2 linked regions of the Drosophila melanogaster genome follow. The protein of the gene in region 2 interacts with the protein of the main gene of each other region in a pairwise test. Each region holds a gene or a part of one and is shown on either strand. Other genes may lie near its edges. The genes, in order: Uba2 and Su(var)2-10.

Region 1 (5,081 bases), on a different chromosome or scaffold from region 2:
GTAAAAGAAGTAATTTGAGGTAAGCAGGAAATACCAGGAAAGGCTTCGGAACCAGGGCAAGCCATGAATTCGATAAACCTGGTAGCCAATCGAGATGATCTCCTGGAAGCACTTCACCTGCACCAGTAACGTCTGCAAAGAGAAAGTAGGACAACGATTATTTGAAGACTCGTTTAAGCGAATTCCATTAAACCTACCGTGATCATCAAGGCCAGCGGTCCACCATAGATGATCAATGCGAAGCCGCAGATCATAATCCATGTGAAGATGCCGCGAATCACCCAGTTCTTCCATCTGTGGAATGCGCAAAAAATAATTGTTTGTAATTGTACATATTTACTTTTAATATTTGCTCGCCAACTGTAGACAGCTGTGGATATGGATTATTTTTGGAACGCACTCATACTCATTCTGTCGGATTTATAAAATTCGCACTTCAATAAAATATTTTTTGAATCATCAATTCCAAATCGACCTTTAGCTATTCATCATGATCTTTAAAGATCCCAACTACGCATATGGATTTGTTTCACATACCTATCCGGCAGATCCTTGAGGGCCGAGTCCAATATCTCGGGCGTTTTGTCGGTTCCCTGCGGCAGATTCTTGGCCAGTTCGTCGACGAACTTCTCCTCGGGAATCTTCTCTTCCTCGGAGTCCACCTGGCAGGAGGAGGAGCAAGGGAAAGGGAAAATTCACTTATTGATTGCATTGGCTGGGACTGCAAAGTAGGTTTCCTATCAGATTCGATACGACCGGAGTGCAGGGTTTAAATACTTTCTATTGGACGACGCCGAGCAAAGTCCATGATACGTGTATGTATGTGCCTATATACCCATAATCAGAATCACTCGTTTATCCAATACACAGGCACATAAAATAGAGAGGGGAACCAAGTGGGGAGAAAAATTGCGGGTTTTTTTGGGTGGCGTGTTTTGTTGCCAAATAGCTTGGTTGATAAGGAGGCATTATCACCCAGCAATAACAAAAAAAGTCCAAGCCAGAAAGGGAGTCTGGTCATGGTAATGGTTTCGGCTCTGGGTTCTTGGCCCAGTGCTTCCCTAATTGGCGTAGTCCATCTAATTGGATTTGCTGGTCATAATGGCGCTATATTGCAACACAGCAGGTGGGTGGTTGGGTGGCAGGCAGGCTGGCTGGCTAGTGGTGTGTTTTGTGTTTGTTATTGGATTTTCTCCAGGAGAGAGCTCTCTCTTCTTTCTCCCACCTGCTTGTGCGTCAGAGAATAACAAAAACACATAGCCACACACATTTGTTGGTATACACACATTGGCTTTTCTATGCTCCAAGAATTATGCAAATTGGTGTCCGGAACAGCTGCCGCTCGGCTGCTCCACATACAAGTCATTGCTACTTACATGGTCCGAGGAGTCGGCGGCGGAGTTGCGCTTATTGGCTGCGTCAGATCCGGAGATGGCCGTGTCCTCCAGTGGCTCATCCTCGCCCTTCCTGCGTCGCACTTCGGCCATTATTCGATGTTCGCCAGATCTATTCACAATGTATTGATTCCTATTGATTCCGCTTGAGCAGTTCTCGTCCGTGTTCCGCTCTCCGCGTTTGCCGTTTGCCGTGACCCGTGCTGCGTGATCCGTATGTCGACTTCGTCCGAATTAAAATGCTTTTCTCTATTTCTGATTAGCCCAGCATGCAGTGTGCCCAGCTTGCGCAAAGTGGGCTGGTGGAGCAAAAGTGTTGGCAAGTATGCTCAATTGCTGTTAGGTTTTACAAGTTGACTTTTCGGACAGAAAATGTTTGATGTCTTTTAAAAGAACTTTCTTTTTCTGTGCAATTAACGGTGACTTTTGTCGTAATATGTAAAATAAAATATATTAATAATACTAGAAAAGTTAATTTAAGTGATAATAAGAGTCACCCATATCAGCCATCCCTGGTAGAGAATATCCGTAGCTTTATACGTTTCCCAACACCTGCACCGGCGGCGTCACTTTTCTCGGCTTTTCCGTATCGCAATTTTGCAATTTTCTCGCCAAAAATAAGAAAAAGGAAAACGTAAATTCAGAAAATGGCAGCAGCTATCAATGGTGTTTTCCCACCCACATTGCAGGAGCTGGTAAAGAAGTCCAAGGTGCTGGTCGTGGGCGCCGGCGGAATCGGCTGCGAGGTGCTCAAAAACCTTGTGCTTAGCGGCTTTACAGACATCGAAATTGTAAGTTTTTTCGAAAAAAGTATTCCATATTATTAATTTATAAACGTTACCCAGATCGATCTGGACACAATTGATCTTAGCAACTTGAACCGACAGTTCCTATTCCATCGCGAGCACGTTGGAAAATCTAAGGCACGGGTGGCTAGGGAAAGCGCACTGAGCTTCAATCCGGACGCTAAGATAACCGCTTACCACGACAGTGTAACATCGTAAGTTGGGATAGCTTTGCCTTTACATCTTGCTAACAACACATACCTTTTAGTACTGATTATGGCGTCAACTTCTTTAAGAAGTTCGATTTGGTGCTCAGCGCCTTGGACAACAGGGCCGCCAGGAATCATGTAAATCGCATGTGCCTCAATGCGGATGTCCCGCTGATCGAGAGCGGCACCGCCGGCTACAATGGCCAGGTGGAACTGATCAAGCGTGGACTCACCCAGTGCTACGAGTGCACTCCAAAAGACAAACAGCGAAGCTTCCCGGGCTGCACCATACGCAATACGCCCTCCGAACCGATTCACTGCATTGTCTGGGCCAAGCATCTCTTTAAGTGAGTATACCTAATAATTAGTCTAAATTGCAGCAAATCTATTGATTTATTTGCAGTCAACTGTTTGGTGAGTCCTTGGAAGATGAGGATATTTCTCCTGATGCTGCTGATCCCGATGCAAAAGAAAAAGACGGCGGCGATGGAAATGGCGAGCCCAAAGGCGATGGGAAGGAAAAAGGCGAAGAGTCAAAAGAGGAAAAGGAGGCCAAGGAGGATACTGCCAACGGCAACATAATGCGCATTAATACTCGCCAATGGGCCAAGGACTGCAACTATGATGCGGGCAAGCTGTTCAACAAGTTCTTTAACGAGGACATTACCTATTTGTTGCGTATGTCGAATTTGTGGAAGACCCGCAAGGCACCCGTGCCCGTGCAGTGGGATACCCTGCTGCCCGAAGGATCCTCCGGTGATCAGAAGGATGTGGCCAAGCAGCATCACAAGGTGTGGTCCATCGAGGAGTGCGCTCAGGTCTTTGCCAATTCATTAAAAGAGTTGAGCGCTAACTTCCTGAAACTCGAAGGCGACGATACTCTGGCTTGGGACAAGGACGACCAGCCAGCCATGGATTTCGTGGCGGCCTGCGCCAACGTGCGATCCCACATTTTCGACATTGAGCGAAAGTCAAGGTTCGAGATTAAGTCAATGGCGGGAAACATTATTCCTGCTATTGCCACCACAAATGCGATTACGGCGGGAATTTCCGTGATGCGGGCTTTCAAAGTGCTGGAGGCCAAGTGGGAGCAGTGCAAGGCCGTCTATGCCCGACTTAGACCAAATGCACGAAATCACTTCCTTGTACCGGACGCTTCTCTTCCTGGCCCCAATCCCAATTGCCATGTATGCGCCAGCGATCCGGCCATTACTCTCAAGATCGATACGAAGCGCATGCGTATAAAGGAGCTGCGTGACGAGGTCCTGGTTAAGACGCTCAACATGTTGAATCCGGATGTGACTGTGCAGAGCAATGGCTCCATTTTAATCTCCTCAGAGGAGGGCGAGACCGAATGCAATGACGGCAAGCTCCTAAGCGAATTAAACATTGTGGATGGTGTGATCCTCAAGTGCGACGACTTCTTCCAGAACTACGAGTTGAGTATTATCATTTCCCACTTCGATGCGGAGCGCGATGAAAACTTGTTCGAAGTCGTAGCAGATGCCTCACAGCTGAAGCCAAAGGATGAGGATCAGAAGGAGGCCGTGAAAGACAAGGAGGATGAACCGAAATCGGCTAAGAAGCGTTCTACCAACGGGGAAGGAGACTCAAAGGACGATGGACCCTCCACTTCGAAGCGCAGCCGGCCCAACGAAGTGGTTGAGGAAGATGACGATGACTGTCTGGTAATCGAGGAAGACGAAGACCAAGCAGATGTTGTTGTCGTGGCCACAGACAAGCTCTCTGTGCAGAGTCCCCCAAAATCGGGCTCCAAGCGCAAGCCATGTGAAGTAATCGAGGATGAGGATATCACCGAGATTTTGGAGTCGTCTGACGACGAACCCGCGGGACCAACCAAGTGCAAACGTTCCCGCCTGGACGATTCGAACCCCGTGGCAGTCATCAGTATCGATTAATAAAAAAAAGAAGTTTTTATTCGAATAAGTTCTCAACTGCGCACTAAATTATGCTCTTGATTCCCTGTAATTTCATTCTGATTTAAAATAAAAACACATTTTTGTGGATGATAAAATTTTTAAATTTTTGTGCTTTGAACGGGTTTGGTTTTGCTCTACTCGATTAAATTCAAATAATCCAGTGCGAGAAATGTAATTTTATTAAATAAAAGAAATATAAAATAACATTTAAAATTAGTCAAATTTTTAATTCGATAACTTTTTAACGCCAACCAGTGCTGCGAAGCACTGGAAGTCATTGTGCCTGTTATCGGTTTCTGACCAGTTCAATCCAAAACAGAAAAAGGTGAGCTGTTCTACAAATTTTCATTGTAAATCTCAATGAAAATGCAAATTTCAGATGTCCCTGGCTAGTAGAATACTGCAACAAGGTTCCCGCTTGTGGAATGGTCTCAGTGCCGCGCGTGGTTTCCACCTTCTCACCCGGCCGGCGGCTCCTGCAATTGTATCAATTCAAAGCTCGCAACTTGTGGCCGCCACAACTGGAATCTGTCAGACGTCGGGTCTGCTGACGCCTGGCTCCACTTTGGTCCAGCAGGTGGCGGGATTCAAGGTCAAGGGACGCCTGAAGCGACGCTGCAAGGACTGCTACATCGTGGTGCGCCAGGAGCGCGGTTATGTCATCTGCCCCACGCATCCACGCCACAAGCAGATGTCGATGAAGAAGCGCGACTACAAGTCGTGGATCCTGACGCACGCCACCCAATCCAAGGA
Region 2 (7,041 bases):
GTTGAAAATTGTTTAATCGTATAGTTAAAGTACACATCTCCTTGTACATTGATTTCATATTTGTTCGTTCAGATATTTAGGGGGTTTGCATCATGTCATAGTCAAAGCATTGTTCAATTTTAAATCTTAACATATAAATCCGTGGTGGTACGGTTTGAGCTTAAATACGCCAACAAAGGCCAGGGAGGTCATATAAACTGAGCGTCTAGCTGGACGACATACATAACATACATAATCCGTCGTTTCCAATCGATTTGCATTGATAAAAACGGCTTCGATTGCTTTCAATACTATGGACCTTTAATGCCATATGCCATTCCGCCCTGTCTTGCAACGTAACTTAAATGCGAGGACTGCAACACCCTCCAACTGCACACAGCACCGCCTCCAATCCGTACAGAATCCGTAGTTTAACTAAAATAACTTAACTACTTTAAATTTTGGTGCCGCGACTGGCCGCCGCCTGGCATGCATCCTTTCATTTCGCTTTCCTCATAGTGTTCATTGCGCTGACCGCTTCAATGGAAAATAAATTAATTGCGTTTCCTATAGTAATTGCTAATTAATGCTGGTGCTAGTTTGTGTATTTGCAATATCTAGGAATATTTCAGTTGCTGTGTGGTGTGGCGTGTGTTGCTGAGAGCGCTGGCAAAGCGTAACACAACTAACTACTCGAGACGACACGAATAAAAGACACGGGACGTAAGCAAAGTGTTTTGGTGTGAGCCAACTGAAAAAAGGGGCAGCAACAATCTGGCCGATGGGGGAGCACATGGATTCATTCGGGAACAGGGGACCCTCTCCTACAAAACCTGTCTGTTATGCCTGCGTCCTGCAACACAAGAATTACAAGCATCAGTTGGTGGCTCGCGATTGATAGAGTATGAATAATGAGGTGATGCAAGGCGGCGAATCGAACGCCGAAGAATAGCCTCTAAGGTAATATGTGGCCGTGCGCCACCGGAAGTGAAACCGAAAACAGAAACTGGACGGGCCAATATAGGGACCATAACAGTAAGAGACCGCGAGCCGCGAGATGTGCGATTAATGTGTGTGGGATGTGGGTCCTGCCTACGGGCCGGCATTCTGGCTCTGGCCGGAGGACGCCGTGGCAGCTGCAGCAGCCGCAACCGCAGCCAGATCCAACAGTTGGAAGTGCTTTTGATCCGCGACCGCAGCAGCCAGGGATTCCAGGAGGGAGGCATGGACGGCTGCCGTCGCTGGCTGCTCGTGCTGTTGCTGCTGCAGTTGCTGCTCTGAGACTGTCTGCTTCTCTGGCGATTGGCGGCTGGCCTGCTGTTCTGGGGATTCTACGAGTTGCATCGGCGGCAGCATGGACGGGTCACACAAAAAGATCAGGGGAAGAAGAGAAAGAGAGAGAGAGAAAGAAAAAAGACAAAGAAATGCACAAGTTACTTGAATTAGTTTAGTTATTATCATCATATAACCTTGGGTTTAGGTTAACACAACAACAATCGGAAAAGAGGCTCTCAACAAAAACCTTCACTAACAAACTGGCATGATTTATTAAAATTATCACTTAAAATAAGAGTACATATCGTGAAATAATTTAGATTCGGTGACAACAGAAAATACATTGAAAATGAATTAGGACAAATGGTGGTATAAAACCGAAAAATACTCTATTAACTTTGCTTAGCCGACGTTTGGGCGCCTTGAGCTCTCTGGCTTGGGTTTTCTGTAAGAATGTTCTGATTAAGTATGGGATTCTTGTTCCAAACCCGAACCATTTCACAATCGATCGACGGAAAACATACCGTGGGCGCAGCCAAACTCCTAAATGAACACGCTTGTAAAGCTCCTCCGCTTTCTGAGGTTTTTTAAAAACATTACCACCTACAATACAAGCAACGAAAGCGGATAGAGTCAATTTATAGCCTACTTAGTCTATACAAGTTTTGGCTAGGGGATTTTACGAAATCTACGGAAACCTTTTCGATGCTGGACTCCGTAGATCTAACACAAAATTATCATGATAAATAGCCCTTCTGGTCACTTTTTTGAAACATAAACATATGTTTGTACATACTACACGTAAAATTGGGTTAATTTTAACTGGGTGTACTCATACTAAAATCAAATGATGCACTAAAGTCATAAGCGGAATCGGGGACCTAATTATATTTGAATAACAATAAGTGATGATGAAGTCAGAATCATATGTAACATATATGTAATTTTCATTTTGGACAATGTGAATACTCTTTCGAACTTTTGCAGTTAAAATTTTCTAATATTATTTAAGACAATTGATGCACCAAAAAAATACTTTTACGTTAAATGATGTCCTAGAGGTGTGCCGTAAAAGGTGAACCGAAACCTAAATGCTTGATCTTGTTAGGATTTCATTCCTTTGTCTAAATTATTGGTGCCGAAGCGTGGTTGAGTCAGTGTGGATGTATGTAAATGGGATGTGTATGGATTCTTATAACTACTTTACCCTAGGGTCTACAATTAGCAATTTGTAAACATAAAGATTTCTTGGCTATACAGAGATATAATTCTCGTTACTGGCTTATTGCAAAAAGGGATCCAACGTACCGGATTGCTGGGGCTGCTGTGCCGGGGTATAGGCACGTTGGCCGCCACCGCTGCCGTTCGACGTGGAACTGGCGACGGCTTGCTTGGCGGGCGGACGACGCTTAGCCAGCGGCATGTCGTCGTCTGAATCGCTTAACGTTAGGTCAACCTGTTGCGCAGACAGAATACAGTCATATGATAAGACAGTTTGGTAGGTTGTAGATTGGTGCTCTCTACTTACAGTTTCACTGTTTGACGTTGATGTGGGCTGTTCGTCCTGTGCTGGGGACAAATCCCTCTTTACTGGCTTGGCGTCATCCGAGATAAGTTCTGGTAATGTCCGAAAAACTTGATTAATGTCAAAACAATTTAAAAGGTTGCGTGTTAGGCGATTACCTATGTCATCCGATATAACCTCAACCTTTTGGGCGGGCTTTGAAGGCGTATCAAGGATCTGCGTCTCGCTCCGTAGTCCTGGTGTGCTCCAAGATCCATCCTGATGAAGTTGAATCTCAGTATCATCACTCTTTAGAAGCGACGAGCCCAACACCTCCTGGAAGTAGCTGGAAAACAGAGTTTAATCAGTTACAAATATGCTAAATGAAATGACATTTCTTACCCATCTATGACCAGGTTGTCATAAATGGCCGGCTTGTCGCATACAGGGCAGTTCCACGTGGGCTTACGCTCATTCATTTGCAGGTAGAGACTGGCATCGAAGCATTGCAGATGCGAGCAGGTTGATGCTCGACAAGGCAGCAACATTTTCATCTTGCCCAACGGGCAGTTAAGGGAAACCTTCAGCATAGTGGTGGCTATTTCGCAGTCAGCATCCTCAGTCAGCTTCTCTTTGACTTTAAAAAAATGGTATTTATTATTAAGTTTGCATCATTGGAGCACAGAAAACTCACTTAAGCCTCGCGTGTAGTCCGCTGGTTTTACGCCCTTCGTCTTCATTCGCTGCAAAAGCTGTGTTGAGGTGAGCTTCTTTACCAGGTATACGGCCAGACAGTAGCTACGAGTGTAGTCCGGACACCACTGAACCGTTATGGTGTTGGTGACGGTAGGCGACAGCTTTACATTGGACGTGACATTAACGGGTCGCGGCGGACGCTTGGGCTCCACATTTGGTCGGTTTGTAGGAATGACATTCTGCATTGGAATAAAGAGCAGGATATTATACCAGGTCCTGATTGGATAATCGGATAATACTTACAGGCAGCTGACAGAGTTTGTTGTTCACTTTGACGTTTACGTTCGGCGGGAAGCAGTCCTCCTGGTCGCACGAAGTCTCCACCAGGCAAAAGCGCAGTTGAACCTGAATGGCGTGCTCCACCTTGGAGCTGTTGCGAATGTCGCGATTAGAGGCAATCTCGGTGGCCTGCTGCGGCGTGAGCGTGAAGTAGAAAGGCACCTCTTGGACGCGCTGAGTGTTGCGTGGCACCAGAGTTGAAGGCTTAATTAGCGTTCCGAGTACATCGTAGAAGGCTAGCTTTTTCAGCCGCACATCGGGGTGAATAGGCAGCTGGCTGTTGATGCTGTGTGTGTGGAGGAAGGGTGCGCCGCCGACCACATTCATCTGGCCGCCGGGCACTTGCACACCTTGGCCGCTGCCCACGAGGCCCACGGGATTGGGCTGCACGGTGGGCGGCAGCTGGATGTGCGAGTACATCCTGGTTGGGTCGATGTACTGCAGCGTGGCGTTTTGTTCCTGCACGGACTGGGCGTAGACTTCCTGGACCTTCGGGGCAAGCAGTTCCAAGTTGGTGCGCAAGAACGAGAGGATGCGGCTCTGCAGGTCAGTTTTTCGTCCAGCGAATGAGATGTTCAGAAACGACAGGATTTTTTGCAGCTCGACCACTCGAAGCATCTGCACCATTTGCTCACATTCCTGAAGAGACGGAAATGGCATGGCGAACAATGAAAATTTTGTATTTCGGAAAATTGGGAAGGTGTCTATGTCCAAATAGCGGGACTTAGCACCAAGCGTCCACACGAACACACACACAAGCGCGCTCTATATGCAAATATCGCGTTTTCGCACATATGTACACATGCGTATGCCTTGTGCGGCTTTATGCAGAAAAAATCATAAATTCGCTCTACATTATATGCCAAGTGATTGCTTGACAGTCGGACAAAAGCCTGGCTTCCACATTTTTCCCATCTGTGGATAATTTACTGGTCCGAAACTGCCGCATGCCACCAAATCATTACCTAGATGCTCAAACATGGCGTTCTCGCAAAAAGTTTCTTTTCGTGGAACCGATCGGGTTTCAGTGGCTTTTAACGTTGGTATATGCAGAAAATTTGGTAAGGCTTGTGTTCGCCACTGGCAGCCTTCCTTCTTTCGCAAATTGCACTTAAACAAACTACCGCAAAAATGCCCCCTTTTTTGTCACACGAATTTTGTTTTGTCCGCACGGTCTGAAGAAATATGGCGGATGATAGTGTTGTTAAGCGCCGGCGGATTTGGCTGGCAAATCACTCTGTTCGTGGGTGGGGAAGGGTACAGACACCATTTTTTTCTGCGGTCACACTGCTTATCAATAACCATGGCCCCCATATTTATGAAAAATTCTTTGGACTGAATAAACTGAGACTGGCGGAAACATACCTTGTACTTGGTGGAATCAAAGGGATTAACTGCTATTGGCGCTGACGAAGTCGACTGGTGCCCGGGGCTCGAAGATGTTGCGGCATTTTCCGCCTGCGTGCGAGCCGTCTGAGAGCGGGTCTTTCGCATCACTATTATTTTCTATTCACGGTGGCGTTAGGCGTTCGGCAATTGAAGTCGCGGACTCGTTTGCATTTGCCTGGGACGCGCACCACACATAAAAACAAGCAATTGCCGCTGTTTTTCAACGAATGCGGAGAAACAAAAATATTTTACGCGGCGTCGTCGCTGTGGGCCGACTAGAGTTGACACTATCGATCGACACTGCGGAAATCTCTACCGCCTGGCCGAGTCTTGTCTCACGCAGCCCGAAAATGCCCTAACGCGTGCGTTTGTTTACTTTGTTAGCAACCGTTACTTTCGTAGATTCCTAATTCGCTAGGCATTTATTTAATTGTACAAATATGGGTCTATCTATGCAAGAATAGTATAAAAGGGGCCCGCCGCTTGGCGTGGGCCTAGAAAAAGTCCATGTCCCCGCAATTGACGTCCAGAAAGTCGTGGTCGTAGCTGATTAAATCCTTCAGCGGCGCTCCCTGAGCCGCCGCCGCTGCTTTGGATGTGGAGGGAAGTTCCGCATTGTCCACAAGATTTATATTGATCTCGTGGGTCCTGTACTCAGGGCTGTCGTGCTCCTGCTCAGCGCCAACAGGGGAGGGTGGCGGGTTGGACACTGAAATAGTCAAAATAGTCACATAGGAGATTTAACAATAATAATGGGATCTTCTTACAGCTGCCCGGTTGCTTATCTTCACTTTGCTCGTCGCCCTGCATGTAGTACTCTTTGCGCTGATTTAACGTCGGCAGTTCCGTAACCTGCTTGCTGAGGCACTTCTTCAACTCTTCCACCTTACGGTCCCGCATCAACGTTTCGATCTGCTTTCGAGACTTGCTCAGACTCTGGCGATCCTCACTAAAAATGCGCTTCTGCTGCTCCTGAGTGATGTTATCGTGGTGCTTTATTAGGAACAGGAATACCCCGCCTGGTGTACGTCTCCGTATGCCGTTCTGTTTCGAGGTATCGTGTTAGTATATTCGGGGGAACATCCTTTACTACTTACTTTGATCATCATGCCGCCATCGGCTTCAATGCGCTGAGTTTCCTTGTATAGCTCTAGGCACACATCTATGCCAAGAACCTCCACGACTCGAACTGGTAAAACTGGCATTATTTACTAAGTAGGGCATTATTTATTTCACATACTCACCAAGTAATTCGTCCTTTTCCTCGTACAGTTTGCTGGCCATTTCGGTAGCCACATCCGAAGGATCTCTCTCACCCACTTCGTTTAAGTCCAGAATGTGTCTGGGCTCGCAGAAATCGGAAGATCCGCTGGCCGAAGATGTCCCACGACGTGACCGGTGACCCGTTCTACTCTTGACCAAACCGCGCTGTTGATTCCCGGTGATGGGCCGACTAGAAGGTCTTCCCCTCTTGTGAGCTGGATGGGAGCATTCGCCGCCGTCCTCCGAAGAGTTTGAGAGTCGTCGCTTTAGAGTGTTCTCGCCGTTCAGCCGGTATCGCAATGAGAAGTCGTAGTTTTCAACATTTCGATCCCGACCGCTTCGGGTAACGTCGCAGCCACGCATATTCTCGCTGAGCGCATCCTCTTGCAGGGCAGAAGCCCACACGTTGTACTTCTTGAAACGGGCTCGATTCGGTTGCATTTCAGCATCCGTGGGCGGAACGCGCCGCATTACCGTGCGCCGAATGCGCTTTTTCCGCTTCTTGTGGCCGTCGGGTCCGGTGGATTCCGTACGAAGCTTCTTGATGCACCCGTCCTCGGAGGATTCGGCAGTCGAGGAGTCGCTGTTGCTTTGTG

Evidence for each region.
Region 1: the proteins of Su(var)2-10 (region 2) and Uba2 interact in a two-hybrid assay, tested with the Drosophila melanogaster proteins (one study listed by BioGRID).

What each region holds. Positions count from the first base shown.
Region 1 is NT_037436.4:8,124,665-8,129,745, reverse strand, and holds Uba2 (Ubiquitin-like activating enzyme 2), read left to right. Parts: upstream 1-1,927; 5' UTR 1,928-2,041; coding exon 2,042-2,185; intron 2,186-2,239; coding exon 2,240-2,394; intron 2,395-2,447; coding exon 2,448-2,735; intron 2,736-2,791; coding exon 2,792-4,307; 3' UTR 4,308-4,419; downstream 4,420-5,081. Other genes in the region: Cds (CDP-diacylglycerol synthase), read right to left, coding at 1-132, 198-294, 538-662, 1,377-1,487; mRpL36 (mitochondrial ribosomal protein L36), read left to right, coding at 4,708-5,081.
Region 2 is NT_033778.4:9,114,569-9,121,609, reverse strand, and holds Su(var)2-10 (suppressor of variegation 2-10), read right to left. Parts: upstream 5,489-7,041; 5' UTR 5,288-5,488; coding exon 5,159-5,287; intron 4,993-5,158; exon of another isoform or gene 4,454-4,992; coding exon of another isoform or gene 4,433-4,453; coding exon 3,758-4,432; intron 3,694-3,757; coding exon 3,453-3,693; intron 3,396-3,452; coding exon 3,161-3,395; intron 3,105-3,160; coding exon 2,938-3,104; intron 2,872-2,937; coding exon 2,783-2,871; intron 2,723-2,782; coding exon of another isoform or gene 2,711-2,722; coding exon 2,563-2,710; coding exon of another isoform or gene 2,537-2,562; exon of another isoform or gene 1,858-2,536; coding exon of another isoform or gene 1,779-1,857; exon of another isoform or gene 1,700-1,778; coding exon of another isoform or gene 1,657-1,699; exon of another isoform or gene 1,505-1,656; intron 1,311-1,504; coding exon 1,072-1,310; 3' UTR 833-1,071; coding exon of another isoform or gene 804-832; 3' UTR 794-803; downstream 1-793. Other genes in the region: Phax (phosphorylated adaptor for RNA export), read right to left, coding at 5,677-5,891, 5,950-6,226, 6,280-6,371, 6,427-7,041.